Coturnix japonica: one gene and its partners. The protein of the gene in region 1 purifies or fractionates together with the protein of each later gene. This does not show direct contact. Links are inferred from orthologs where the notes say so. Each region holds a gene or a part of one and is shown on either strand. Other genes may lie near its edges.

What was found.
Region 2: the proteins of DYRK1A (region 1) and CDC27 purify together in Homo sapiens (affinity purification with mass spectrometry; 3 studies listed by BioGRID and IntAct, with this or other methods). This does not show direct contact. The link is inferred for Coturnix japonica from reciprocal best matches to the Homo sapiens genes DYRK1A and CDC27.
Region 3: the proteins of DYRK1A (region 1) and FAM117A purify together in Homo sapiens (affinity purification with mass spectrometry; 4 studies listed by BioGRID and IntAct, with this or other methods). This does not show direct contact. The link is inferred for Coturnix japonica from reciprocal best matches to the Homo sapiens genes DYRK1A and FAM117A.
Region 4: the proteins of DYRK1A (region 1) and GLCCI1 purify together in Homo sapiens (affinity purification with mass spectrometry; 8 studies listed by BioGRID and IntAct, with this or other methods). This does not show direct contact. The link is inferred for Coturnix japonica from reciprocal best matches to the Homo sapiens genes DYRK1A and GLCCI1.
Region 5: the proteins of DYRK1A (region 1) and PRKAR1A purify together in Homo sapiens (affinity purification with mass spectrometry; 6 studies listed by BioGRID and IntAct, with this or other methods). This does not show direct contact. The link is inferred for Coturnix japonica from reciprocal best matches to the Homo sapiens genes DYRK1A and PRKAR1A.
Region 6: the proteins of DYRK1A (region 1) and LZTS2 purify together in Homo sapiens (affinity purification with mass spectrometry; 8 studies listed by BioGRID and IntAct, counting the BioPlex papers as one, with this or other methods). This does not show direct contact. The link is inferred for Coturnix japonica from reciprocal best matches to the Homo sapiens genes DYRK1A and LZTS2.
Region 7: the proteins of DYRK1A (region 1) and SEC16A purify together in Homo sapiens (affinity purification with mass spectrometry, with the first as the bait; 3 studies listed by BioGRID). This does not show direct contact. The link is inferred for Coturnix japonica from reciprocal best matches to the Homo sapiens genes DYRK1A and SEC16A.

What each region holds. Positions count from the first base shown.
Region 1 is NC_029516.1:96,407,423-96,412,198, reverse strand, and holds the start of DYRK1A (dual specificity tyrosine-phosphorylation-regulated kinase 1A), read right to left. Parts: upstream 3,218-4,776; 5' UTR 3,111-3,217; intron 1-3,110. UniProt on the Homo sapiens protein: Dual-specificity kinase which possesses both serine/threonine and tyrosine kinase activities. Exhibits a substrate preference for proline at position P+1 and arginine at position P-3.
Region 2 is NC_029542.1:2,302,636-2,306,380, reverse strand, and holds part of CDC27 (cell division cycle protein 27 homolog), read right to left. Parts: intron 3,167-3,745; coding exon 3,014-3,166; intron 2,228-3,013; coding exon 2,019-2,227; intron 1,809-2,018; coding exon 1,691-1,808; intron 1,318-1,690; coding exon 1,189-1,317; intron 714-1,188; coding exon 639-713; intron 1-638. UniProt on the Homo sapiens protein: Component of the anaphase promoting complex/cyclosome (APC/C), a cell cycle-regulated E3 ubiquitin ligase that controls progression through mitosis and the G1 phase of the cell cycle.
Region 3 is NC_029542.1:2,730,577-2,733,910, reverse strand, and holds part of FAM117A (protein FAM117A), read right to left. Parts: intron 1,658-3,334; coding exon 1,562-1,657; intron 1,189-1,561; coding exon 1,075-1,188; intron 757-1,074; coding exon 622-756; intron 306-621; coding exon 83-305; intron 1-82.
Region 4 is NC_029517.1:22,767,149-22,770,032, reverse strand, and holds part of GLCCI1 (glucocorticoid-induced transcript 1 protein), read right to left. Parts: intron 1,152-2,884; coding exon 1,031-1,151; coding exon of another isoform or gene 1,027-1,030; exon of another isoform or gene 1-1,026.
Region 5 is NC_029533.1:6,402,082-6,406,616, reverse strand, and holds the start of PRKAR1A (cAMP-dependent protein kinase type I-alpha regulatory subunit), read left to right. Parts: upstream 1-1,527; 5' UTR 1,528-1,648; intron 1,649-2,356; 5' UTR 2,357-2,420; intron 2,421-3,518; 5' UTR 3,519-3,520; coding exon 3,521-3,697; intron 3,698-4,535. UniProt on the Homo sapiens protein: Regulatory subunit of the cAMP-dependent protein kinases involved in cAMP signaling in cells.
Region 6 is NC_029521.1:20,199,568-20,204,269, forward strand, and holds the start of LZTS2 (leucine zipper putative tumor suppressor 2), read right to left. Parts: upstream 2,975-4,702; 5' UTR 2,755-2,974; intron 2,666-2,754; exon of another isoform or gene 2,573-2,665; intron 2,018-2,572; 5' UTR 1,979-2,017; coding exon 1,547-1,978; intron 1,157-1,546; coding exon 587-1,156; intron 387-586; coding exon 117-386; intron 27-116; coding exon 1-26. Other genes in the region: TWNK (twinkle protein, mitochondrial), read right to left, coding at 3,857-4,117, 4,357-4,498. UniProt on the Homo sapiens protein: Negative regulator of katanin-mediated microtubule severing and release from the centrosome. Required for central spindle formation and the completion of cytokinesis.
Region 7 is NC_029532.1:6,356,352-6,360,332, forward strand, and holds part of SEC16A (protein transport protein Sec16A), read left to right. Parts: coding exon 1-243; intron 244-545; coding exon 546-643; intron 644-1,110; coding exon 1,111-1,192; intron 1,193-1,379; coding exon 1,380-1,497; intron 1,498-1,723; coding exon 1,724-1,835; intron 1,836-2,112; coding exon 2,113-2,218; intron 2,219-2,439; coding exon 2,440-2,580; intron 2,581-2,732; coding exon 2,733-2,846; intron 2,847-3,474; coding exon 3,475-3,679; intron 3,680-3,845; coding exon 3,846-3,981. UniProt on the Homo sapiens protein: Acts as a molecular scaffold that plays a key role in the organization of the endoplasmic reticulum exit sites (ERES), also known as transitional endoplasmic reticulum (tER).

The DNA of each region.
Region 1 (4,776 bases):
CACAGGAGGCTTGAATCCCAGGGGTTGGACTTGATGATCTCTAAGGTCCCTTCCAACCCGCATGAGACTGTGAGACTGTGATAACTCCCAGAACTTTCCTTTTGAAGGATCCACCAAAGTGAGGAAGGAAAATGAGAGCATTCCTCTTTCCAAAGTATTCTTGACTTTCTTCACCAGTCTTGAGTTTACAAGGCAAGACGTGTTGGATAGTCTCAGATCAAAAAAGAAGTCCCACTAATCAGTCAAGTCTAATTAGTGGAACTGTTACTACATATTGGGAGGGGAAAAAAGTTTCCTAAACTCTTGCTAGAAAAGGAAAAGAAATGAAATCGTAAAGCAAGTTAACAAATAATCTACTGTACTCAGTTATAAAGACAAAAGCAGTAAATCTCTGTAAATAATCCTATTCTACAACGAGATCTATTTACAAAAGGATTTCAGTAGTGATACAAGGTTTCCATGCTTCCATAAAACAAAGGTATCAAGAAAACTTTTGACTTCACTTTAGAAAACAGTTGGCCAAATGGCAATAAAAATGACTGCAGGTAGACTAACCAAGAACATCAGCTGGAACAACTTTAACCCCAACTACGGGACTGCAGGTTGGAAAGCACCTGAAATAAAGCCACTTCAAGAGGAACACTGAATAGAGAATCTAATTATAGCAACAGAACTTGCTTCTTTGCTGAGAGTCACCACCCATTTCAGTTCAGATAAAACTATAAAACGCCATCACAGCAAACAAGGAATAGTTCTTGGTGAGTTTTATTAACTGGTCTTCTTGCACACAACCACACAAGCAGGTGTTTCATACACATTAGCATAACCTATTCAGGACTTTCACACTTGGTAAAGCACTGGCTAACTTACTTGAACTAACAAAAACTCCCAGTAAATTCATTAAGGCAAAGCCTAACGATATAGTTAACCCAGACCCATTTCTTTCCAAGGCCCTGCTGGAATCAAGCTGTGACATACATGCTAGCAGCTACGTCCTATTTAAACACAATGTTAAAACCTAAGTTTTTACTTGATGCCAGTCATGTTTTTCTCCATTGCATAAACCATCTACCAGTGTGTAGGAAGTTATTTACGACCATCATATGCTCACTCCTAGTCCGTTCACAGCCCACGTGCTTTAAAAATTGATAAATTCCTGATTACTACATCCTTATTTGACACAAGGAAGATCACACTATCCATAAACTGACACTGAAATAGAGACCACTTGGCTGCTATTAGGTAAAATTATCCTTCTCGCTGCTTCTCCGTAACTGTCCAACAGTGGGGGAAGGGATTCCAATGGCAAACTCCAAATACACCTGAGTATTGATACAGGAACTGGAATATGGCAACAAACTTTCTCACCTACTGGCCTGTAAACAATATTAAAGAACCCAATGTGTGCATACACAACAACTTAAGAGAATGGGCTGCATCCTTTTGTGATTTAAGAAGACTGTGCTATTGGACAGCTCAGTCAAAAACGTTTAGGAAATACGATTGAAACTCCATAAGCTTCATAAACTTTTATTCAATTTTTAATTCGTAGAACAAATGTAAATCCAACATACGAACTCTACTACTGACCATGAATGAAAAGGCTTTGATTCTAAATATTTTGTATAAGCGAAAAACATTAAGCACAGCCTACAAAAGTAGCCTACACATACACACACACAGAGTTCACAAGATACAAGTAGATAATAGAAATACTAGCTCGTGTTCACAGTTATCTTCAGCGTTAGCATTCTAATTCTATAAAGTATAATTAATTTTCCAAAAATACCCAACCTACAGATGCTGGGGGGAGTACAGATAAGGAGAAACAAGTTCTACCAAAACTTCTTCAGGCTACGTTATTCCAGTGTGGTAAGTTACACTCTACTCAGTTACTCACAGATAATAAAGTACCGCTACAAACAAAACATCACTTTATTCATCCTCAAACATTACTGATAAATTCTTCAGCTCTACCAATATAATAAGAAAACGAGCTGTTCACTTATCCAGATCCCCTACGACGCTGAAAGCCACGTAAAAGCCACTGTGTGCACCTACTGGCAAAAGTTACCTGCACGCTCCCATTGGGACTACAACAGTAGGTTGTCCAAGACATTCCTGTCGATTTATTTCATAGCCAGATATTCTGCCTTTGTTAATTTTAATTTTAAAGAACAATGAATGTTTATTTCCACCGATGGCTGTGGAGTAACAGGAGAACTAAGTAACAGCAGCAATCTAGACACATGATCAAAGGACCCCTACATGGCCTTTGGGCAGACTAAACTCTAAACTTCAAAGCTGATCGAAACTCAAAAATGCACCAATTTCGAAATTCCAAATTACAGCAGTTCTAATTGTGTTTTCCGATTTTGTGGCAACGGGAGGGAACACCACAACGGAGGAAAAAAGAACCCCACACATCACAGGAGGTCTCTGGCACCTCCAGCAGCACAAAGCTCCATTCCTAGCGGGCTGCAGCCAGCTACTGACACCCCGCAGGTCCCGGTGCGCTGCTCGGCCGCCGCTCCCCGCTCTCCCCAGCGCAGCCCGATGACAGCAGCCTCCTTCAGGTACTCCTGCCCCGGCCCCAACTCCCCCCGACCCCCGCAGAAGGTGCGGGCAGAGCCACCACAACAGGTGCCCGCCGCGCTGACGGCCCCGCTCCTGCCACCCTCGTCTCCCCGCTCCCAGGCCGGGCCGAGACCCCGCTCCCGCCCACCGCAGGGCGTTGCGCATCAGAGCGAGAAGAACCGGGCGAACTCCCTTCCTTCATCCCCGCTCCCGGGGCCCGGCTCGCTCGCATCCCGGTAGCCTCTCCCGGACACCGACGAGAAAAGGGCCGCAGAGGCCGCAGTCGCTGCCCCGGCCTGTCCCATTAGGGGGCGGCGGACGAGAGGGCGGGGAAGGGCAGCCCCGAAGCCCGCAGCGGCTCCGCGCCCCGCCAGCGCCGGGCAGCGGCCCGCCGGGCCCCGCGCTCTCCCCGCCGCCTCTCTCTAAGATGGCAGCGCCGCTGCCCCCTGCGCTGCGCCCCCTTCGACCGCGCCGGGCCGGGAGGTGGCACCCGCCGGTCCCGCTGCGCAGCGCCCCGCCGCCGGCTCACTCACCGTACGAGCCCCGCGCTCCGGCCCGGCTCCTCCCGGCAGCGGCCTCTCCTCTCCTCCTTTCCTCTCCTTTCCTTTCCTCTCCTGCTGGTGCGGCGGGCAGAGCGAGGAGCGAGCGCTTCTTCTTCTTCTTCCCCCGGCCTCGGCCCGGGGCCCCGGCGCGGCGGCGCCTCCCTCTTGCGCGCTCCGCAGTCCGGCCGGCCGCCCCGCCGCGCTCGGGCCCGCTCGGCCGGCGGCGGTGCCGGTGCCGATGGCAGGGTCTGCCCGCTGCGCGCCTTCTTCTCCGGGCGGCGGGGAGAGGTGGGGGGGGCCCGGCCCGGCCCGGCGGGCGGATCCGCGGCGCTTCCTGGCCGGGCTGGATTTTCTATCGCTCACAAAATGGCGCGCGTTCCAAACCTGCGCAGCGCCCGGCGGCGGCAACGGCGGGGCCCGGCCTCGCCTCGGCTCGGTGAGGTGCGGCGGTCGACGGCGGCCTGAGCCCCGGCCTGGCAGCGCGGGGACAGCGGCGGGCGGGCGGCGAGAGCGGGCGGGGGGAGGGGGAAGAGGAGGAGGTGGTGGAGAAGGAGGGGGTGGGGGGAAAGCGCAGCGCTGTACCGAGCCCCCGGGAACTCCTCGCTCCCTCCTCCCTCCCTCCCCCGCCTGCCAGCCTCTACCTCCTCCCACCCCACCCGCTCCTCCTCCTCCCTCCCGGAGCGGCTCTGCGCCGGCACCGCTCCCTCACAGCGCTCCGCAGCGCGGGGTGGATTTCCGGCAGACCCTCGGGGACGAATTATTGCCCTTTTTGGATATATACATATATATATACATATATAAAATTGAAGGTGTTCTTCTGTTTTCTTGTCTTTCGGAGTGGAAGCGGGGAAGGGGAAAATAAGCGAATAAATTAAAAGAAAACCGCCACCACGGTTCGGGCGGGAAAGGGTTTGGGTTTTTTTGTTTGGGGGTTTTTGGTTTTTTTTTGGGGGGGTGGGTGGAAGGGGTAGGTTAAAAAAAAAAGGCGAACCGACAAAATGGCGGCGGGGCGAGCTCGTCGCTGTGGCAACTGTCCGTCAGGGCGCCCTGCTGCCCCACCCCGCCCGGGCGAGCGGGAGGGAGACGGCGCTGACGTGGGGAGGGAGGGAGAGAGCGACGGGTAAAGGGCCGGGCTGCCGTAGCCCGGCAACCGCTGCTTCCCCGCCTCCCCTCGGTGACGCTGTGACGCTGTAGCCGTGCGGGCCGCGACGCTGCCGGCTGGGATGGACTCGGCTCGCCGGGCTCCGGGGCGTGAGGAAGGGAGGGAGGGAGAGGCGGGGACGCTGCCCGCCACGACGGTGTCGCCTCCCCGGCCTGCAGGGGGCGCCGGCAGCGCGGAGGGGGCGCGGGTTGTGTCGCCCCCCGGCGGGTGTATGGGGGCTCGGGCGGGCAGAGCTCCTTCCCGCTTTAAGAATGACCCGTTCCGCTCATTTATAAGGCATCGAGAAGCTGGTGCTGTGGTGAGCTCTGTGAAGGGAGGTTCCTGAGGGATTGCTGCTTCCCTATGAGCTGGAGTGCACTGGAGTTTGGTTTGTTGGTTTTTCGTTAGTTTCTGGAATGCTCGCAAAGATCAGGAAGTAGAGGATGGCCTTTATCTTACTTTTTAGTCCTAACCTGCGATGGTGCTTTTTAGCTCCCAGGCAGCCTCCTTGAGGAA
Region 2 (3,745 bases), on another chromosome or scaffold:
GGTTCTTCAGATGTAATTTAAGCCTCGGAACTCCTACAGCCTCATTAAGATTTCCCACTTCCCAAACTGATACAGAAGGATATCGCCTTCTGTAACCCACTTGCAAAGGCCATCAGCTGAAACAGACACGGAGGAGTAAAAGCACCCCACAGACACTTACTCAGCACTTCTGATGCAATATTAATACATTTATACATTTGAGCATGGTTCAACACTTTCACATCTCCAGGCCCAAATAACCAACACAGATGACTGATAGTCAGCCTAGCCCTGAAAGCTGTTCTAACTACTGCAACCTCTTTGCAGTTAAAGATCTCAATAAAGATCCATTTCTTGCTTTCTAAAATGAATTCCTCTGAGACAACAGATGTAAAAGAAGACAACAGGAGCTTGGGTTATCTTTTCTTGGGTGGTTATAAAAATAGCTTGAGGTTGCTCCAGTCTTTTAAGGCTGAAAGCTGTTACGTTGGAGAGCTGTGAGATTATATGCAGCAAGTCTTATTGAAGGCTCTGTGAATTTTACAATGCTGCCCCAAATGTAAACAGCTTGGCAACAGGCTTCAAGTTTCCTCATTAAGCAGACGTTTCTGCAATGAAGGAAAACAAAGTGCTTACAAACACAGTGAAATTTCACCTACCTTTCCTATTAAGAAGTAAACAAGAGACTCTTTGGGAACAATCTGCTTCAGTTCTTCAAGTTCTTGCAAAGCAGACTGAAAAGGAAGAAAAAAAATAAGCACAAGCTGGCAACCAGCAGCCAGTTATTGCATTGCTGAACTGCAACTCAGAGCTGATGCAAACCTCGCAACTGACATACAGCACACTCCACCACAAACAACAGTACGGCCTCATCAGAAGCACCTCAAGTTTCTTTTACATTAGTTTCTCCTTTAATGGCTATAGAATGTTATGGCCCAATTATTACAAGCACAGAATAAATACGCTGGGCTTTGGTCTCCTATAATAACATCTAATTTTTTTTCTCCTGCTCACAGGTATCCTCTGCTTTTGACTTTTAATCTCCTGCTCAGTGAAGGTGGCACTTCTTGAAACAAATGCTTTATTAGCTGCTCTGCCTCAGGCTCTTCCTACTCATGCTTCAAGCCTTAATGCTTATCACTGCATCCCCATCCGCTGCTGTAGCAAGTAACAGATAATCTAAGGTTGTCTACGTGCATCAAATCTTACCTTGTATTTCTCATTTGCAAACAGTACAGAAGCTCTATGGAATTTGCATAGTGGGTTCTTGGGGTCGATGTTAATTGCTTTGTTTAGAGTATCCAAAGCCTTTTCAGATTTTTTCAGTGCGTGTTGGACCTGTAACAGAACAGGAATAAAATCTCAAAAGGGGAAAAGAATAAAGTAAATTTGACTGGTGCTGCTACGTTTACTTACAACCTGTTCCTACTGAGTCTTAAAGAAACCAAGCTTTCTCACAGGTAAGCCTATGCTATCAGGTTGAGTCAGTAAGCCATTTCAACACTGGCTAAAAGCAACTGGGGGGAGGGAGAAAAGAGGATTTATTTTCTGACACAATCCCACGGTTATTCATTCATGCAATAAGATCCTCTAATAGATCCTCTGAACTTTGTTTTGTTTGTTTTTGCACTTCAAGTTCAGGAAGGTTGCAGGTAAAGGGCAGAGGCAAATCAGAACATAACAAGGAGAGAGCTGAGCGCAATCTACTTACTACTCCAATGTGACACAGTAAGACTGAGCTCTGAGGATTGATATCAAGTGCTTTCTGGAAATGCATTTCTGCTAAACTGAATTTCTCCTGTTTGTAATAAATCATTCCCAACCCATACCTGCAAAAAGGAAAAACAGTTCCATTAATAAGAGTGCATCTTAAATAAACTAATTGTCATCAGCAAATATGGACTGGTAGAAGTGGCACATATTTAGAAATGACTCAATGACAGAAAAGTCTCACAAAATTCACAGCAGCGTTTGCAGCTTATTCCTCCCAAAGGTGCTCCATATCACATACAGCAGAAGGGGGATGAAGCAAGACTTACCATGCATTGTAGTGCCTGGAGTTGACTCTGATTGCATTCCTAAAACAAGCTAATGCCTTGTCTAGCTCTTCTGTTAACACAAATTCATGCCCCAAAAGGGTGTAGGCGTAAGCATAGTTTGGATCAACTTGAATGGCTCTCTGGAAGAACTTGATTGCAATGTCATGCTCTCGTTGCAAGCTGAAGCAGTTCCCTGCAGCACACCATGCCTAATAAAAAACAGCATTCTAAGTTAGAAGTGTCATTTCACAACCTGCAGAATGACCAAGTCTGAGCTAAACAGATCTTCTGTCACTGATCTATGCAATTATGTCACTTGCTACTAGATTATAAACAACAGTTTTAACAGTACTGACCAGTTGCTTCACTAAGTCCTCCTTCCTCTAGTACAAAATAGAATGACCTGAATAGGTTCATCTCCAGCAGAAAATCCCAACAGACTCCACAGCTTCCCCCACTCTGTCAAGAGCAGATTTATATCCCCTCCACACACATACATACTTATTATTGGGGCACATGTCAGCTTGCTTGCATGTCATGTGCATGTTATAATACCAGCTCAACGGACTTCAGCATAAAAATATTTTCAAGCAGCGTTGTACAAGTTGTGCAGGAAATATGAGTGCCAGTGAATTACAGCAGTTAGAAGATAATATGAGAAAAAACATCCCTTATCTTTACATGTGGGCATCAGCAGGGACAATTGATCAACCCATGATCTTCCTGGATTAACAATGTCAATACAGATTCAAATCACCATTAATAGATTAAAGGTTCACAACGTGTCCCATATAAGCTGATATTCTAACGCCAAGCAGCCATTTCAGGCATCATCAGCTCAACAGGCAAATCCTGCCACCTCCCTCTCCAGTTTCACCTCATATTTCTCAAGTGAGAATGAAATCCTAATCCAGCTCCAGTCCAAGTTCTGTTCCCTGTCACTGTCTGTGCCGCACACAGTTACTCATCTCACTGAGCACCACAGCATTTTGTACCTCTGGTGAGTTTTTATCCATGTCTGTTAAATCCTTTGAAAGAACTGACAGAGCAACATCTTTCTGCAGATGCCACAGCGTAGTTGAATAGATCTCCATGCCTTCTACTCTGTAGTTTTCAATCCTCCTCACTTCTGAAAATATCCTTTCAGCCTAAGAAAGGAAATGAGAAATCAAACAACAGCAATTCCACCCACTCAAACAGAGCACACAGATCAAAGTTAGAAGCCTCATATGTCCAGAATGAGAATTCTTTGCTATGCAAACATGAGGCAGAGCTACAAGTCCTGTTGTATTTTTATCTTCCCCACCAAAGGAAATGACTGCACTCCAATACAGTTAGACCAAGCAGAATTCCAGCTGCCCTCCCTGCTTGTGACTCCTGCAGGAAACAAGCACAACAACTGTCAGGGCAACAGAGAGAATAAGAGCTGAACGGCTGGATTCATCTTAGCTGCTTTTTTCTGTTGTGAAGCAGTTTGCTATCACCTCAGCTGCAAAGGGAACCAGGTCATCAATGGATCTCCATTAACTAAATAAGGGGGGGGAGAAGAACACCTGGTTTTGGAACCTGAATTGTTTCAGTGATTATTTACAGCACTGCAGTACAAACAGCTGCATCAGCCCAAGTGAGGGTGAAGATGGAGAAAGGCAAAGGGAGACTCCCAGGACTGGATGCAAGAGGAAGTAACTTCAGCATTAAAAGAAATCTGAAGCACAACTCAACTTCAG
Region 3 (3,334 bases), on another chromosome or scaffold:
ATCTGTAGCTTCCAATCCACCACACAGCCTCCTCATCCCCCCTTCCCCCCCAGAATCCCCAGCCCCTGGGCTCAGCACTTGCCTTTCTCTTTTGAATCCAGCTGCACCTCATCTACAGCAGAGGAGAGCTCTTCTGCCACCAGTCTCACTGGGGTGTGTGGAGAAAGGTGGAGAGGCACAGAAGGGGAAGGAGAAAGCGAGAGGCTGCTGCAGCTGCCACTGCTGGGCTCCAGGATCAGGGAGGCATCTCCAGAGCCTCTCTGTGCAGGTGCTGGTGCTCTGTGGCCGTCTGGGACATCCAAGATCTAGGAAAGAAAGAAGCAAAGTTTCAGGAGAACAAGGAGAAACTCACCTCTTTTACTGGAGAAAAGGTGAAGAAACAGCCACTCCTACAGCGTTCTACTGGCTCCCAGCAGAGGCTCAGCCACAACCAGAGCAGAAGGACACAGACCCTTCTGCATCCCCTGTAAGAAGCTTCAGGCAGCTACATGCCTAGAACAAAACTGGACACAGAGACCACTCTCATGGCCAAGAAGCAGATATGGGCAGTGAACGTCATGAGAGGAAAGCATTTCTGAGACCACACAGGAGATTCAGGGTGATCCTACAACCTTCACTCACCCTCAAAAGCTCCTCATCTCCCTGTTCCTTCACAAACACTTCCTCCAGTTCCTGGTTCAGCCCTTCCAGACTCCTGTGCAAGCAAGGACTGAGCCTCAAAACAGGAGACGAAGAAAGGAAGCCTGAAGGAGAGTCCTGCAACAACCCAGAGACGAAGATGTTAGTTATGACAGCACAGACTCAGCCATTTCTCATCCCATTCTGATGCCACAGTGCTCAGCCAGAGCCTGCTGGGAGGTTGACTGGCAAAGACTGGCACAAGAGCCACATAAACCCACCCGTCTGGAGCATGGGGATCTGCTGAAGCAGCAAAAGGGGGGGAAGAAAAAACCACTCCCCTTCCTCAGACACTGAGCAGATGTCTGAGAGCGGCTGGGATGTCAGCAGGCCCAAGTTTACACTCCTCCTCACTGGGAGGAGCAGGGACAACAGCAGAGGGAGATGTGAACCTACCCGGAGCGATGTGAGAACAGCGTGGTCCCCCTGCAGCGGGGAGCTCTTCTCCTTTTCTTTGCCACTTCTGCCATTCAGCTTCGTTCGTTGGAGCTGCTGCTTCAGTTTGGCAATCTAGCAAAGAAAGTTTCAGCGTCAGAATGAAGCAACCCAACACACCTCCACCAAAACCAAATAATCACGTCTCATCTCTCTCCTCCCCCCCCTCTGTCTGAACCCATGAGGAAGTGCCAAAATAGAGACAGTTCTAATTGTACAACAAGCAGCTCCGGCTGCCTCTCCAAGGATGGGCCAGGGCTGCCCACGAGGCCTCACCACAAACCTCCCCTTGGAAGGGCTCCCATTCTGCGGTGGGATCTGGGTTATCTTCCACCTGCAGCATCAGGGCCAGGCCCTGCTGGAGCCCACGCACACTGTGCCACCTACAAGCACTCCCACCAGCAGCTAACACAGCCCTTGCTCAGGAGCTGGGTGTGATCTATTTTACCTCTCTGCGGTGATCTGTGCTACCCCAAGAAGCAGAACGTTTGTGAGCACTGGAGCTGCCTTTCCCCACTTCCACGTCATGCCAGGACACCGGGGTCTGAAGCGAGGAGAAACATTGCTGAGAACAATCACAACATTCACTGCCCTGAAGCTGCTGGGTGAGTCCCAAAGAATCAAATCAACCAACTGCTGCCCCTTCACAGCCCTGTCCCAGCCTTCCCCCTTATCACTCAGTAATGCACTGAGGTCGCATCCTTCCTGCACTGCCCCAAACCCCAACGTTGTCACAGCATCTTAAAGGACCTCAGGGACCTGCATGGCAACAGAGCTGCTCAGGAGGCAGCTCCTCAATCCCCATGGGCACCTGGCAATGTGAAGCACAGCCATCGTTCCTCACGCCCCAATGCTGCCTGCAGCCCAAAGCAGGCTGACGTAGGGACTCAGGCACTCATTGTACAAAGCAACGTTACAGAGAGGAAAAGCCTCACCCAGCTGTGAGAACACACAGTTTGCTGCTGAGACCTCAGGCTCCCATTATCGCAGTTCAAAGGCGTAACCAAAAAGCAGGGTTTGGCCAGCAGACTCAATGCTGGAAGAGCCCAGCTGCTTCCATTGCTCATGCCTGGCTGAAGGGCTGGCAGCTCTCAGCTGGCTCTTGGTGCACAATAAACAACCCCAGCGCATTGCACAGCTGTTTTCCAAGCAGCAGCTCCATCACGAGTATCAATGGCAGTCAGAAGGGGTTGATCTGATCAGTGATGGGTGTGAACTTCCTTCCACTCAACTCAATCCTCCCCATCGCAGCCCTGCAGCATCACAACGCTCCCAAGGCACGTCAGCTGCAGGGCTGCTTTTTCCCAACATCACATGTCAGGCCCTCACAAAACACCCACCCCGTGTCCCTGCTGTGCTGTGGGAGGCTCCGGAGAACTCTCCCCTCCTCCATCCTCAGGGACTGGCTGCCTGGAGGTGCAAGGGCCTGAGAACAGCTCCTCCTCATCTCCCCTGAGGCCACTGCGAGGACAGCAGCTGTTGGCAACAACCCCATCCAGAAAGCAGGATGACAGAAGCCTCTTGCCTCAAAATGGATTTAAACCAAAGGAACAAGGCGAGTTACCTGGAGAGGTAGCAGGCTTTCCTGTGCTAACTGAATGCAGGTGACCTCCAGACAGAAATCCAACCCTGCCCCAAAGCACGGGCTCTAATGAAGCCCCTCCTTGCAGCCCCCCATGCAGGGCACAGCGCTCCCAACACACTGTGTGCTGCCTGGGTCTCCATGCACAGGACCAGCAGAACTGGCAGCACAGCAGCTGTTCCATTGGAGCCCAGCGCTCAGTTTGCTCTGACAGAAGCAATCTGCTCATTACTGTGAGGTCCTGCTGAGCTCAGAGCAGCCTCAGCCGCCCCGTGGAGGAGCAGGCTGCTCCCATAGGAAGCCCTGCAGCTCAGGCCAACCCCACACTCTGAGCACGCAGCACATCTGATCTCATTTCCTACCTCAAATAGTCTCTCCTAAACAACTCAGACGGCATTTGGTGTTTATGCCAGAACATTGTGTCACTTCACAGCCCAGCAGATCACGTACGTAAGGGGGAAAAGCTAGAAGTCTAAGAGGCAACACTCAGCTCCATCTCATGTTACTGCTGTAGGCAAAGCTGAGAAGCTCAGCTTCAGCTGCTGGATGAGGCCAGGATGTGAGAAAAGCTTCAGGTTCATGAAGACTCTCAAACAGCAGCTCCTTTAACACCCCGTTCTATTGCTGAGACACCCAGAG
Region 4 (2,884 bases), on another chromosome or scaffold:
TGGTTCTACAGGTTGCTAAAATGTGAATGACAAGGAATGGGATTAACTGGACAGAGGGGCAAACATCTTCCATATTGGTAGTCAGCTAACTGATCCACAGCATTAAAAACAGTGCCATCACAAAAATGACATCGTTACTGGATAAACATGCACCTTTCCAGAGAGAAAAATCTGCAATACATATGCACATGAAAAAATGCCATGGTAATTTAGAACGACACAAAGTCTTCTTTAACAATAGCACTGCAGAAACAACACGTGTAGTCACATCAAATCTTTAAGGAACTCCGTGAAATTGACCTCTCCTTTCCCATATTCTGTAATCTGCTCAGAGGCTTCCTCCACAACCCAGCATTGCTCCTTCACCATCCATTGGGCAATGAATGCCGTTAGAGCAAGAACCATCCCCCTCCTTCATTCTTTTCTTCCACAGGAGCTAAGCATGCAACTTTGACAGCATATGTTCTAATACTGCTGAGTCTATGGAAAAGGACACCATGTCTAAGAGTTTAATTTCTGATTTCCTGCTCAACAGCAAAACTATTGAGCGAAGTCTATGTCATTAAGTATACAACCATCTAAAAACTCTTTATAATATATAGATTTCAAGTCATTTTATGTGTTTTAAACACAATTGTAACCATAGGGTATATGAATGCAACCTATGCTCAAAACTGATAAAAATTCTGGCAAGGAGAGTTTTTGTGTCAAACAAGGAACATTTACAAAAGTTAATACAAGCATATGAAAGTGAGGTTTATAAACGCTTAGGAAATTAAATGTACCTTATCTTTTCCGCTTGGATTTTTCTTGCCTTTTTATAAATACACAAAAAGAGTTCAAGCATAAAAGACTCCATTTCCTCTTCAAACCAACATGAACACTTCAACTTCTCTTCTGTACAAACTAAGGATAGTTTGCTCCTGAAAAACTCATCAGCTGGAATAGTTTATTCATCTGCAGTTGAATGGGCTCAGTAAACAGGTTTACTGCTTTGCAGATACCAGCTGATATAAAAGGCATTACTTACAAGCTTTCCTCAAAGACTTTCACTTTCTCACATCCCTCTGGGGGTTCCCGTTTGAACATGTAGCTGTTGTTTGGTTTGGGAGATGAGGCATACTTGGGCAACGGTGAGCTACTCCCACTGTCTGAAAATTTAAAGCAGTTATATTACTAGAGATTGAGAGTGTTGTTTTTTTTTTATTAAGTTTGATTTCCAAACAAGATGCCTTTTTCACAGTTCAGCCGCTATGCTGGTTTGCTTCTACCACAACGATTCCTTTATCACAGGCAATTTCGAACACCCTTGCATAGCACATTTCTTCCGAATAAAAGCTTCAGTGCAGCAGTAATCACATAACGACACGTAACAGGAGGATATTTTTATCCAGAACACCGCAACTGGCACAAAGTGATCCTGGAATCAAATTGGCTCTTAATTATGTATTTCAAAAAATATAAATTAACACAGTAATATGCATTACACATGAGGAGAGTTACAAGTGGTAATGATAATGCCTTCTCACTGTACAAGCAGTTACTGAAAACCTGTGCATACAGCATCTATCTTACTTTAAAACAATTTTTGGCAGGAATGCTGACCGCATTAGTTTCACTATTAGCTCAGAATTTGCAAAGAAACAAAGCACATTTTTAATACAGGTACTGGTATGTAGTCATTACAATGTCCCACCTCATTTGCTTTACAGTTTAGTTCTCTTAATATCCAAAATTAAACCTCCACAACTCCACCCTCTCATCATCGCTAACTATACAACCCAGCTATTCTTTATGACTGCAGACACTTTTGTGTTTTGCAGATCATTACTAGGCACACTTGGAACTAAAGACACACACATCCAGAACACAGGACAGACTTCACAGCAGGCAGATTTCTGCACTTCCTGCCAAATCTCTGAGAGATAAGACTCAACTCTGGTGAAGTCACAAGAACAGAAGTTTGAAAAGTTAAGACTACGACAGGGTTCGCCTTAAGCAGAAAGTGGCGAACCACCTTTTCCTTCATCTTGACAACGTCAACACTGAATGCATTAAGAAAATAAAGTAGGTACAAAAATGGTTACTCACAGAAATTGACCCTTCTGCAGAGGATTCTACTTTCTCAAAGAGCCAACACAAGTGGCTCCTGTTCTATGTTTGGGCTTACAATTAAAAAAAAAAAAAAATAAAATAAAAATAAAAAAACAAAAAGGCAAGCTTAAGGAGAATTCACCAACTTACAAGCAGAATCAGTGAAATGATGGCTCCTACTTTCAAGTGTTTCCACCAGTTTGGGGTACCTTATTCTTTTTAACTCTGATACCTTTGTTTATTCTGCTGCTGTTCAAATGTGCCTTTTCAGCACCATTGGAAAACCAACCAAAGCTTCAGGCATTACAATCTAGATTCGCTGAAACATATAAGGCTTTCTTTAAGAATCTGCAAATGGTAACCACATAAACATTTGTATAAGCGTGACTCAAATACAGAGGCTAATCGTTAGAGGTTTTGAACCATCAGCGCTTCCTTTACGAGACACAAATCAGCTCAAATGTCACATATCCGATTTTACTGTGAAAGGTACAAGAAAATGGTCAAAGTGGACCTCAGCAGCATAGCGATTATTCTGTTCCTTCCAGCTGCACGGTGAACACAACTTCTATTTACATAATTTCTGGTGTTAACTGTATGAAGACAAGAGGTCTAGAGACAAGACAGATATTTGTTAAGCTGAGCACATGATGGTCTTCTGGAATCTTTCCACTGTTGGCCCTCATAGCTCATTCTGAGTACAGAAATCATTAACAGGACCCAGACAGTTTGTTTCCCCCTTCTAATACTTAAAATTGAAGATCCAAGTTGCTATTTAAAAACTCTGGGA
Region 5 (4,535 bases), on another chromosome or scaffold:
CTTACTCATCCAGAAGCTCAGACTGCATGGCAAACACAGCACATTGGGACCAAGTGCTGCACTTTGGGCTGTGCTTCTTTGGATCCAGCTTGTATATTAAGGATGACACATTTACAACACTTATGTGATTTAACACATAGATCTGGGAGATGGGGTGCCACTGTGGCTTATCTTCTCTTCCTCAGCCTCACTGCCCCACTGTCAGACCGACAAATTTATTGGTCTTTTATGAGACCAAGAATATGTATCCTAATTAATGCAGAATGGAGGTAAACAACATGGTTAGGAATGATGATGTGCCGCTCTCACTCCGTCAGTGAAGGAACTGCAGTGACCTTGCAGAAGGCTGCTGGTTTTAATCATGATAATTGTGCAGCTGACACCCTTGTTATGAAGACGAAGCAGAAGTGGGTGACTGCATGAACCAAAGAGCAAAGGAGCGGTCACACAGCTCCAGGTTCTCCAAGGTACTGGGTAACCAGCTCCTCTAAATTCACAAGGCCTTCAATATCTTTGTATGTTTCAGGCCATGGATTCCCTCACATCCACAATGTCTGTCCTCCAACTCTTGCCTTAAGAGAGCATGGAAAGTGATAGTAACTACTGTTTGAAGCCACATGTAGGTTTGACATAACTACTGACTCCTGTGAATGCCAACCAAGGATGAATGTAGCCTAAGTTTCCCCCATGGTTTGCTGGCTCCATCACTCCCTTAGCAGTCTGGGCAGCTCTTCTCTGCTCTTCAGCAGCCACAGCCTCACACAATTGTCTCATGAGAAACTCTTAATGCATGAAAGTGTGAACTGAAAGCTGTGGGAACAAGCGCTGATGGTAATGCAAGTTATTTACTCCAGAATACTCATTATTTAATTAGACACTTAACACCAGGGTTTCACTGCAATCCAGACCAGACTCAACGGCAAAGCCTTTTGTTTGTCATTCCTTTCTTTTTAACACATGAATACATACAAATCTATGCTTATGAGGAGCATGATTTCACTTTGCAGGGTAGTTCTATGCTCTCACAGCGAAGGATTTACACAAAATTAATGAGAGAAACCTCATGTTAGCACTACAAGGCTCCTTTTAAAGCCTGTTTTGCTCCCTTTATTACACCGCTGCATTGCCATATGAACTCCTGCTCAGCAGAGGGTTGCATCAAGATGAAGCCATACAACAAACTTGTTTTCCTGATGCTGTAGAACAGGTTTTACATACACACACACACACAGAGCTTTGTTCCAGCTGGGACAAGGCACCAAGGCTTGTCCCAACAGCGCTCCATAAGCATTATCGGGCCCTCACCATTCACATTGGGATACATTCAGTGTTTAACAGCTTGCATGGGGTACCCAAACCCAACCCCAGGCCGCCCCATAGTGACACAGACCTCCCCCCCATTAGCAGCGCGTCTTAAAGGCGCAGCATCACTCAACCAACACCGCATCACCGAGCTTACTAAAGAGCGCTGCGGTCCCTTTAAGGTTACCTCGACGACGGCTCCGGGTGAGAGCGAGGCTCATTGACGTCACGCCGCTCTCTGATTGGTCCAACCCGTCCATTTCCGGTGGGAGCCGCCGCCGTTGCTGTCGCTGAGGCCGAGGCGGGGCAGTGGGCGCTGAGGGCCCGAGGAAGGCGGCCGCTCCAGGTGAGCGCTGGGTGCGGCCTGTGAGGAACAACAACCGGGAATGGCCGCTGTGTGGTGGGGCTGAACGGGAAGCTCGAGGCCTTTAGGGTGGGCCTGGCTGCGGGGGAGCAGCGCCGGGGCCGGTACCGGAGCCTGACTGGGCCCCAAGGCTTGTAGGCCCTAAGGTTGTAGGCCTTAAGGCTGTAGGCCCCAGGGCTGTAGGCCTTAATGCTGTAGGCCTTAAGGTTGTAGGCCTCGAGTTGAGAGGCTGCGTTGTGGCCTTGCGGGTTCAGGCAATAGAAACGAAAGCTGCGGGGTGGGGCCTGGGGATGGGGTGGCTATCGGGCTCTATGAGCACCTAAAGGCCGTCCCCTCCCCACTCCCATTGCGGTCCCTGTTTCCCTGGGGTTCATTATTAGCGCTGACCTTCACCACGCTGTTATCAAAGCAAAAGGAGCATTAGGAGAAGGGAAATGCTCCTTTAGTCGTTTCGAGTCTGTACTTAATGTCTATGCGGTGTGTAATGTGTCTGCCCGGGGTTGGCTGTAACATTTGCAGCTCTGTGTTAGCTCTGTGCCTCCTGTAATGCCTGGCAGGACGATTCCATTGGGTACAGTGTTATATCACCTGTTATCTGCTGCCTGTAAAGCACGATGTGGCAGCTCAGTGACATGACATTTCAATATTGCTTCATCTGAATCCTTTTCTTTCTCTCTTCTCTTTCTAAAGCTGATCCTGAGATCAACACTTCTCACTGAACAGTCCTAAGCTGTTGCCGCTGTCTCTGTGCCAGGTAACTTTCTTTATATGTCATCAAAAATACCTTGAGAAATCATTTCCTCTTTCTTTAACTGTCTTATGGGGAAAAAAAACCAAACAACTCAACATTGATTTTATAAACATATACATAAATGAATAAATAAATTAGCATAATTTTATAACGTGAAGTATAAAAAAGAATAGACTTAATGGTATTTTTTTCAAAGTCTTGTGGCTTGCTCTGTGATTTCAAAATCTCTTTAAAGCCTGACAGTGTGATGGGTCTGTTTAAGGGTCCCCTCCTGATAATCCACAGCTGAAGAAATATTTTTGGGGATGGAGGTGTATTCACGGAGGTAGTTATGAAGTGTGGAATGATTTAAACTAAGGAGCTTCTATAAGAGGAATGCTTCTAATTCCCCAGTTGTCATTGATGGGCATTTGTTGAGCTGGCTTTGATTTGACCTTAGCACATCTCACTTCTGGATACCTGTAGTGTTTGTGTCTCAGATTCCTGGTTTCCACCCACCAGTCTCCTGTTCATCACCACCTGACCCCTGGTTTTAACTGGGGTAATGTTAATCTTCACAGTAGCTGATAAGGTGCAATGTTTTGGGTCTGGGAGGAGAGCAGTACTGATAGCACACCAGTGTTACAGCCATTACTGAGCAGTGCTTACACTAAGCAAAGGCTGTTTCAGCTTCTTGCACTGCCAAGCCACTAAGGGGCTGGGATGGGACAGAACCAGAACAGCTGCCCCACCTGGTTGAAATGGTTCTGTACCATGTGTTGTCGTACTCAGCAATAAAACTGGGGGACTCGGCTGGGGGGGGACAGCTGCTGCTTGGGGACAGACTGGGCATCGTACAGCAGGCTGTGAGCAATTGCAGTGTGCATCATTTGTTTTATTTTTTCTTTTTTTTTTGTTTGCTCTGTTCCTCCCCTCCTCATAGTTTCTTCTTTCACACTTTAGCTTTGTTACTGATCTTAGATATGAAGATGACTTTATCCAGTGATGTCAGTCAGATGATAATGCAGCATGATTTTCCTTTAGGCGATATAACGTGTCTGACTATATTGGGCTGCACCATCTTTTCTGCTAGTTCTTTAACTTTCTCTTTCTCATTTTCAGCAATGGCAACTTCCAGCAGCAGCAGCAGTGAGGAGGAACGTAGTCTTCGGGAATGTGAACTTTATGTCCAAAAACACAACATCCAACAGCTTCTGAAGGATTGCATTGTGCAGCTGTGCACCGTGAGACCTGAGCGACCCATGGGATTCCTCAGAGAATACTTTGAAAGATTGGAGAAGGTAAAAATTCCTTTCTGGGAGAGAAGGAGAGTGGAACAGCCAAAATTTGCACTGTTTAACTTGATTTAATGGCTGAGCTTCCAGTTTGGCCCATGTTTGTATTGGCTGTTTGGAACTGGGCCTGATGCTTTTGGAGGATGAATGGTATTTTCTGTAGTTTTTGCTAGTGGCTTGTGGTATGAAAGCACCTCTTGCTTTGTTGTGACAGAAGTAAACTGACAAGGACACTTACCCACCTGGGATTCACGTGTGATCCTAGTCTAGTGTTTGCTCATAGAAACTGATAGATAGGACACGTGATCCTGTCTGTGGTCAGTTGGTAAATGTGCTGTGTGACCCTGGTAGCTGCTGGTGATACACATTTGGTTTCTTCTGTTGAGGCAAATTGATTGCAAAGATTCAGGTATAGAACAGCAGCAGGCCAGTGTGGTAGTTAGCCCGGCCTAGCTGAAATCAAATGAAAGCACTTATTTTCCTGATTTCTAAGAGAACAAGCCTGTTTCTTCATTCTGTTGGGAACTGAGTGTTACTGTTTTGCTTTTTGTTCCTCTCATTTGTCCTGAAGGTCTCTTCAGTGTTCTTGTTGAAAACCTTGTGATCTTTGGAATGAAAAGCGTTTTCATTTCAGTGCTCATATTTGAATCAATTTAACGCTGATTTGAACAGTTAATTGAATATAACTATAGCTTAAGCTGATAGAGAATAATCTGCTATGAAAACATGAGTTTTTAAGGGTGAATGCAGAAGAAAGATTAGCTGTAACCACTGCACTCAGCACAGGTCGTTAGTAATTACTGTAGCTGTGACCTTGTACAGCAGTCATTTGCAGGTGCTGCTT
Region 6 (4,702 bases), on another chromosome or scaffold:
GAGATCTCACCCGACTTCTGGCACACCTGTGGACAGCAGATGCTCAGGCACCGGCCACGGCCCCACCCTGGCCCCCGAGTGACAGGGACACCACGGTTGTTCCCAGCATAGCTCACCTCCCACTTGGTCTCCTCCAGCCGTGGCCCCAGCTCAGTGTGCTCCCGCTGGAAGGATGCGCAGCGACGCTCCAGCAGCTCCCGCTCCTGCAGCAGCTGAGCAAAGTCCTCCTGCAGTTGCTTCTTCTCCTGCTGCAGCTGCAGCACCTGGAGCTGCAGGACCTGCTGCCCACGCTGCGCCTGCTGGGCCGCCTGTCGCACCTGGGCCGCACAGCGCTGCCGCAAACCCTCCAGCTCCTGCTCACAGCGACGCTGCTTCTCTTCATACACCTGGGCACAGGCACACGCTGAGATGGGACATCCCACATCCCACACCACCTCCATGTCTCCCCAAGTCAGCATCTACAATCTCCATGGGGTTCCCCAGACACATCACTGCATGCATAACCCAAATCTACACAATAGGACTATATGGGCACCCCCAGCCCTGAGAGCTCCCCTGGTTCTCCTTACCCTTATATGGTTCTTACCTGGCAGATGGCCACCTCATTCTCATCCAGGCTGTCCCGCAGCTGCTGCAGCTCGGCCTCCCTCTCCCGCAGCTTGTCCTCCAGTTCACGCACCAGCAGAACCTCCTCACCAGGCAGCGGCGAGCGCCCGCAGGAGCCACTCTCGGAGGAGGGCCGGCCCCGGCCACTCAGCGAGCCCGTGCTTTTGCTGGAGGATGAGCGCCCACTGTCCGAGTTGGAGGGGCCGGCTGGTGGGCGGTAGCCACCTGGGGGCTCAGGGTGGCTGTGAGGGGTGGCTGTGAGGTTGCCAGGCTCAGTATGTTGGCTGCAGCCTGTGCTGTAGGTGGGCAGGCTGGACAGAGAGTTGCGTCCCGAGTCTGAGAGCGTGCCTGAGTGGCTGCTGGTGCGGCAGCTCAGTGAGCCAGGCTTGTCGGCCCCGGTGGTCCCCAGCAGGTGGGTGAGGCTCACCTGGCTCTCTGATAATGCTGCAGCCCCTGGACGTACCCCTTGGCTGGCCGGGCCCGGAGCAGCCCTGACTTTGGGTACCACCGGTTTGAATGCCATAGGGCGGATCAGGGTCTTCTCCACATTCTGCAAGGCAAAAGAGGAGAGAGTGGGATCTGGGGACCAGGTACACTCCAGAGGTGGCCTGGCAGATGCTGGGGATGCTGCCAGAGCACCAGGGAGGACTTGGTAACCCCACCAATTCTGCTCCCACCCAACACCTCAGAGTGTCACAGCTCTATAGAAGATGACCACTAGGTGCCCTCTGCTCCATGCAGCAGTTTCAGACAGGCTCCCACACACACATGGCCACTCCTGACATGAGGAAGAGGGCAGCAGGAGCACAGAGATCACCACCACCCCCAGCGACATGGACCATGTGCTCTCTCTATGCATGCACCAGCACGTCTCCCCAAGCCCAGCAGCCCCAGTGCAGCACAGGGCTGAGCAGATCCCCCAGCACTGCTTCCACCTTACCTCTTCTAGCTTGCCAGAGACAGGGACAAGCTTGGGGGGCGGCCCCCGGATGCCACCACTTGGGGCTTGTTCATCCCGTGCCTCGTCTGAGTCGCTGCAGGGGCTGACGGGAGAGGCTGCCTCCAGCCACTCCCCATGAAAAACTTCATTGGTGTAGGCATGGGCAGTGGCTGAGCACGGCTTCTTGGGGGGCAAAGTGTGGAGCAGGGGATCCGGGGGGCTGGCTCGCAGCAGCGTATCCTGCACACGGAAGGAACCACCAGCACCAGCAGGCTGGCAGGAGCGATCGTGGCATGGTCGGCTGGCAATCAGGCTGCCCACACTGCCCATGGTGCCGTGGGTGGGCAGGGGGGAGCGGGTGGCAGTGCGGAGCTGGGCAGCAGCCTCAGGCGTGGCCTCGATGGAAACTGGCAGTGTCTGCACAATGGCCATGGCAGGGGGGCCCCCAGCGGGCAGGGGGGCGCAGGCAGCCTGTAAAAGAAAGGCAACGTGAGGCCTTAAGCAATAAACTCACTCACTCATCCCATAGGACACCAATGAATATAGGACCCCCATAATGGCGCAGGCAGATGTGGGATGGCTGCAAGAGATATGCCGGGCATGAGCAGGCGTCGAGCAGAACAGCATAAAGCTGGGATTAGCCGGAGCAGGGGGAGGCACGGGGCATGCAGGGGGCTCACGCAGCACCAGTGCTCCCGTGCAGGGCCCAAAGGAAGAGCCCCACAGGGGCAGCCCCATGCACTCAGCAGGGTCCCCACTGCGTAGCAGTCACGGTGCCTTCTCTGCCCCACTGCTCCCGGTCCTGCACCCCTGCTCTGCCCCACAGCGCTGCCTACACTGCCATACCTCAGCTCCAGCCTCAGAGAGACGCCCCAAACACCTCATCCTGAAGCATCCTCCTCCCCAACCCCCCCAACCCCGGCACCAACATCACCCCGCTCCCCAATCCCGTCCCTACACCCCTCTCTCCCACAGCTCACGGTCCCCACTCCGCCCCCTCCCCCCGCCCTGGAGCTCCACACCGACGCGTCCCCCCGGGCCGAGCCGGACCCACCCGGGCCGGGCCGCCCCATGATGCGCTCGGGCCGCCGCGCTCCGCCCGCCGCGCTGGCACCGCCCCGGGGCCGCCCCCCGCTTCCACCGCCCCCAGCATCACCCCGGGGTGACGCCGGGCCCCCTCTCCCGTTGCGGGTCGCCCCGCTTCTCACCTGGCCGGCCGCGGCCCATCCGTCCGGCGGGTCCCGGCCCGACTCCGCCGCCCCCTGAGCCGGGAAAAGGAAGAGAGAGCGGGGTCAGGGCCGCCCCCCCCCGTCCCTCCTCTCCGTAGCGCCCCACTGTGTCCCCGCGGGTCCCACCGGCCCGTTCCGGCCCAGGCCCGGCCGCCCTCGCTCACGCTCCGCTCCGCACCGCCGCTCTCCGCCGGCCCGGCCCGCGCCAGGCCCCGCCCGCCCCGCCGCCCCCGGCCCCCGGCCCCGCGGCGGATGGGAGGCGGCAGGGGGTTGCCCTACGGCCGGGCCGCGGGGCAGCGACGGCAGCGAAGGGCCCTCAGGGGGCGGCAGGGCCTCAGCCCGCACCACGGCCCCGCAGGCAGCACGGGGGGGGCTGCGTCCCGCTCACCTCCACATCCCCGTCCTCCGCCATGGGCCCGGCTCCCGGCGCGGCGGCCAATGCCTCCTCCCGGCCCCACGCGTGGGAGCCGTGGGGCGCGGTGGCGGGGAGGTGCCCGGTGCTGGGTCAGCGCTGGGGCGGGAGGTGTGTGTGTGCGTGGGGCCATGGGGCCCCGCTGTGCCGTCCTGCCCCACGCACAGCATGGACACGGGGCTGAATGGGACCCAAAGTTGGAGGGATGGGGGATGGGAGCACGGGGACGCTCATGCAGCGAAGGACAAACAGCTTGAACAGCTCTGCTTTAATAAAAGTGTAAAGAAAACAGAGGGATGGGCCAAAAGCCCACGGCGGGCTCCCCTGTGCTGGGGAGGACTGGCTCAGACACAGTGTTTTGCCATGAGAGGCTCCGAGGCGCCCAGGGCTGTGTCCCTGAGGCATTGCTGCTACTGCTGCTGGTGGTACATGTGGCCAGAGGGGCCGGGCTCAGAGCCGGCAGAGCTGCACTAGCACCACACCGTGCGGGAGGTAAACCTGGGCCATCAGCCTCCACTTAGCAACCCTATATTGACCTGCTCAGGGTACAGAGACCCCAAAGCCTGCACATCCACTCCTCTCCCATCTCCCAGCATCGTGCTCTGCTCAGGAGGAGCGCAGCCGCACGGCACCTGGTGTGCCCGAGTACCAAGGTTGTCCCTGCCACACTCAGGGCTTGCCAGAGCCACCCACACCTCCTCCATTGGGACCCTTCTTGGGTGAAGGCGCCTTCTCCTCCTTCACCTTCTTCAGCTTGGCCTTGCTTTTGCCGTAGGAGGAGAAGGTGAGCGAGGCCTTGTTGAATTCCAGCGGGAAGACGCCTACATCGCCATCAAAGCGGTTCTTGGACACCTGCAGGTAGCGCTTCCCGGGACCCGTCGTGAGCTTGCGGTCCTGCAGGATGAGGACGTTGTCGGCCTCCTGGCTGGCCTGGGGGAGGAGAACATCTCCAGGGGGTGCTGCAGGGCACGGGGCACCCCCACACCCAGCGTCCTCCCTGCTACCCCACGGAGCAACTCATGCCACATCCCACCCACAGCTGATGAGCATCAATCAGCCGCGTGCCACCAGATGGCAGGGGACACCCAGCCCCACTGCAGCACAGTTTGGGTCACGGCGACGTGCCAATGTCCCCACCCTGTCCCCGCCTGAGGCCCAGGAGGAGCCACCTTGGCAGAGCCGAAGATGGAGGCGGTCTGCAGCTCCTTCTCGTCGTCCTCCTTGCGCGGGTGGATGACCAGCGTGATGTGGCACGTGTTGTCGGTGGCAAACTTGCGGAAGGCGCCGACGATGAAGTCCTGTGCTGCCAACCTGCAGGGGAACAGCAAGGGGGCAAATGGGGACAGTGCCACAACCCCATGTGTGTCAGCGCTCAGTGGGGGTGACTGCCCCAAAATGGGACAGGTTGGATATTAGGATCATTCTTCTCAGAGAGCAGTGAGGGACTGGAATGGGCTGGTGGTGACATCAGCCTTCCTGCAGGTGTTAAAGATGTGGCACCAAGGGACATGGTTT
Region 7 (3,981 bases), on another chromosome or scaffold:
ACTGTTGTGGGAACAGACCTGGCTGAACTTCTGCTCCGAGATCATAAAACAGTATGGCTTCCTGGGAAATCCCCTAATGAAGCAAATTTAATTGATTTCACTAATGAGGCTTTGGAACAAGTAGAGGAGGAATCTGGTGAAGCCCAGCTCTCATTTCTCACTGATAGTCTTATAACCACAATTGACAGTCTGGAGAAAGAAACAGAGAGATTCAGAGAGTTGCTGCTTTATGGACGCAAGAAGGTGAGTGTTGATGCTGTAGTTCCAAATACCGTGTGAATGTTTTGTTTTTCAAGAAATCTGAAAGCTCTGAGCATCAGTGAAAACTCTTTTTGCTGCTTGCAGTGCATATAATAATTCATGATGCTGCAGTATATTGATGGAGAAATTGTGTTCTGTAGTTTATAAAATGAAGTTGTATTCTTAAGTTAGCATGTAATCTAATGAAACATTTCTTGGGTTGAAATACTACTGTGAAGTGATCACTGATTATGTGAGTTAAATATTAAGCTATCCCCAGGAAACTAATTTCTGTATTAACTTAGGATGCTCTGGAATCAGCCATGAAGCATGGCTTATGGGGTCATGCTCTGCTACTTGCCAGCAAGATGGACAATAGAACGCATGCAAGAGTTATGACCAGGTACATCTTTGTTTGTTGTTTGTTAGTATGGCATGGTTACCTGTTCTGACTACAAGAGATCTGGTGCTCCAGAAATCTTGATGTTAAAATCACAAGTTATCCATATCACCTTATGCAAGGTTGATGCTTTAGTTTTATCTGGGTATTCAGCTGAAGCCTGTAGTCTGCTGCATTCTCTTGTCTGAGGTCTTGAGGTAGTAAAATTAAATTGGAGAAGTTAATTCAAGGGATATTTGATCCCTGTCATCCATGGGCGTGGGATTGATGTATGTCACATTAGCAGATCCAAGTAATTAATGATGGTTTTCTCTTGGTTGTTATCCTCTGTGCAATAGCTTATTTAGTGTATTTTTGAACTGCACTTAGTTTTCTTAAACTAAGCAAGATTACCAGTGACTGAATGTTCAGTGTACTTTAATTCCTTACCCAACGTTTATTTCTTGTTTTTCTGTATCATGTCTCTCTAGATTCGCCAACAGTCTCCCAATTAATGACCCTCTGCAGACTGTTTATCAGCTCATGTCTGGAAGGATGCCAGCTGCGTCCACGGTAAGGTTCCAGTGTGAGCTGCAATTGAGTCTTAAAGAGATACTGCAATGAGCAGTATAGTTAATAACAGTAAACCTTCCATGTGCTTTCTTTAGGTCAGATACATTTTTAGTCCTTTCTAGGTTTTAACACTTAAATGTGCAGAGCTCCTGCCGCTGATTTCTCTAATTAATTCTTCTAATTTTAGTGCTGTGGAGATGAGAAATGGGGAGACTGGAGGCCACATCTAGCAATGGTGTTATCCAACTTGACTAATAATGTGGACTTGGAATCCAGGACCATTGCTACCATGGGAGACACTCTTGGTAAGTCTTTAGGAATTAAATGAGGATGACTGAAGGAAAAGTCTCTTGAAACAATTTGATTACTCAGCTTTTAAAAAATCTTTTAACAAACAATTGCTTTGTAAAATGTAAAGTGTGACAGTTCTGTATGGGCTTGTCTGTATTGTGAAGCTATTTGAATGCAAGGCTAAGCAATACGTGCCATCAAGACAGAATATTCTGAGTTCTATTGCTTATTTTTCTGCAGCTTCTAAAGGCCTGCTGGATGCTGCTCACTTTTGTTACCTTATGGCCCAAGTTGGTTTTGGAGTTTACACAAGGAAGACGACAAAGCTTGTCCTAATTGGATCAAATCACAGGTTTGGATTTCCCTTCTTAAAACATCACTTCTTTGATGCAAAACAGAAAGGTTAATAGATAAGAGAGAGTTGCATTGCGCCCCTCATCATCACTAGCAACAGCTGGCTTTGAGAACTGTCTGATGCCCTGTTGTAGTTGTTTGAGGACCTGAAGTTGCTTGTACTGTCTAATAGAACAATATTTCTGGCTTTATCTATAGTAGACAGATCTGAATCTATTGATAATGCTTATATTCCTAAAGCTGGGTAATATTTTTCTTCTCCCATTCCTCAATAGCTTGCCATTTTTGAAGTTTGCCACCAATGAAGCTATTCAAAGAACGGAAGCCTATGAATATGCACAGTCACTAGGAACTCAGCCTGGCTGCTTGCCTAATTTCCAGGTGAAGACCTGTTCATTCTGTCTTCTCAGATTTTTGTGATACGTTAATCTCTCATATGTGCTTCAACGTACAAAATATTTTCTATCTCTTGCAACATGAAATATTCATGAACAAGAGTGCAGGGCAGCTTTTTCCCCGTTTCATCAATCAGTATTCATTTTTCCATCTGATGCTTCCAGGAATGTTCTGACCACTTGGTTTATTTTGCCTGTGTTCTGTAGGTTTTCAAGTTCATCTATGCTTGCCGACTGGCTGAAATGGGACTTGCTGCTCAGGCTTTCCATTACTGTGAAGTGATTTCCAGGACTGTACTTAAAGATCCACAGTACTATTCACCTGTACTTATTGGCCAGCTGATCCAGGTAACATAGGGAAGAACTATTAGAATTAGTAGCTTTATATTGTATATTAGTAGCTTTATATTGTGAATTAGTAGCTTTATATTGTAGGGGGTAAGCTGTGGGTAAGGTTACCTTGTTTGGCTGGTTAACTTTATAGTGCTTCCTTTCTCTAGATGTCATCGCAGCTGCGCCTGTTTGATCCCCAGATAAAAGAGAAACCAGACCAGGAAACCTTTGTTGAACCTTCATGGTTAGTGAGGCTTCGACATGTGGATGGACAGATTAAGGTACAAAATGTACTTTCTAACATGAAATTTTCCCTTCTAAGGATTAAAGAAAACCAATTTTAAGTTATTTTGCTCATATTGATAAATACAAAAACTTCATGCTTGTGTGTGATGACATCGTGAAATATTATATTGTGAAATACAAGTATTATAACTTAAACCAAGAGGATTTAATATAGTTCAGTGCCTTAAGATTTAGTACCTTAAAAGGTAATTACATTACATAAAATAGACTTTTTTAGTGCTGTAATGTAAGGAAAATTGCAAAGTTTGTTAGATTGCAGTAACTCCTTCTGTTTGTTGGTTAGAAAAACAATGAAACAAACATAATTGCACAAAGAATTTTATTGTGGATTAGTATAGCTAAATTTAACATTTATTTATGTAGAGAGTTCCACCAGCAGTATGAGAATTGAGCTCATTAACTATGCTTCTTAAAAACAAAGACCTAAGTGTTTTGATTGAATTTGATTTACAAGTGGATGACAGCTGTTTTTTTGACTCAACAGTTAAGAGTGTAAACAGTATAGCTGTTGCTTTTAGGATTTCTTCTTCTATATGTTCCCCTTGGTTATGAACTCAACATCAGGTAGAACTAATAAGATCTTATTTTTCTGTGTGTCTGCAGGAGGGTGCAATAGCTTATAGCACAGACAGATCCACGCCACAACAGTACCCATGCAGCACACCAAGCTCTGAATTAGACCATACCAGTCAATATGATGGAGCAGGAGTTGGCCATGATGTGGGTCCAGGCCCTGAAAATGCATTGTTAGCATCCTTATTGCCCAATATGGCTCAACAGATGCAAAGCGTGCAGCTGATGCCTTCAGGTCAGTTCTTATGGCAAAGAATGAAATAGATATTTTGTGTTTCTAATATGAGGAGCTCCTTAAAAGCACTGTAGAAACAGTGAGACTTCACTTCTGCATTGTATGATGTTATTCACGCATTGAAAGGCTCTGTTTAGTTGTAATTCTTAACCTTTTTGTACCCCAGCTCCTCAAGCTATACTTGATGGGTCAGCTGCTGGGATTCCACCTAGTGACCAGGAAGCTGTCCAAAGTGTCCCTTTCTACCCTGTGGCTTCCCAGCCTATTGGTCCAGGACCTGGCTTTGCACCTCCAGGATTTTC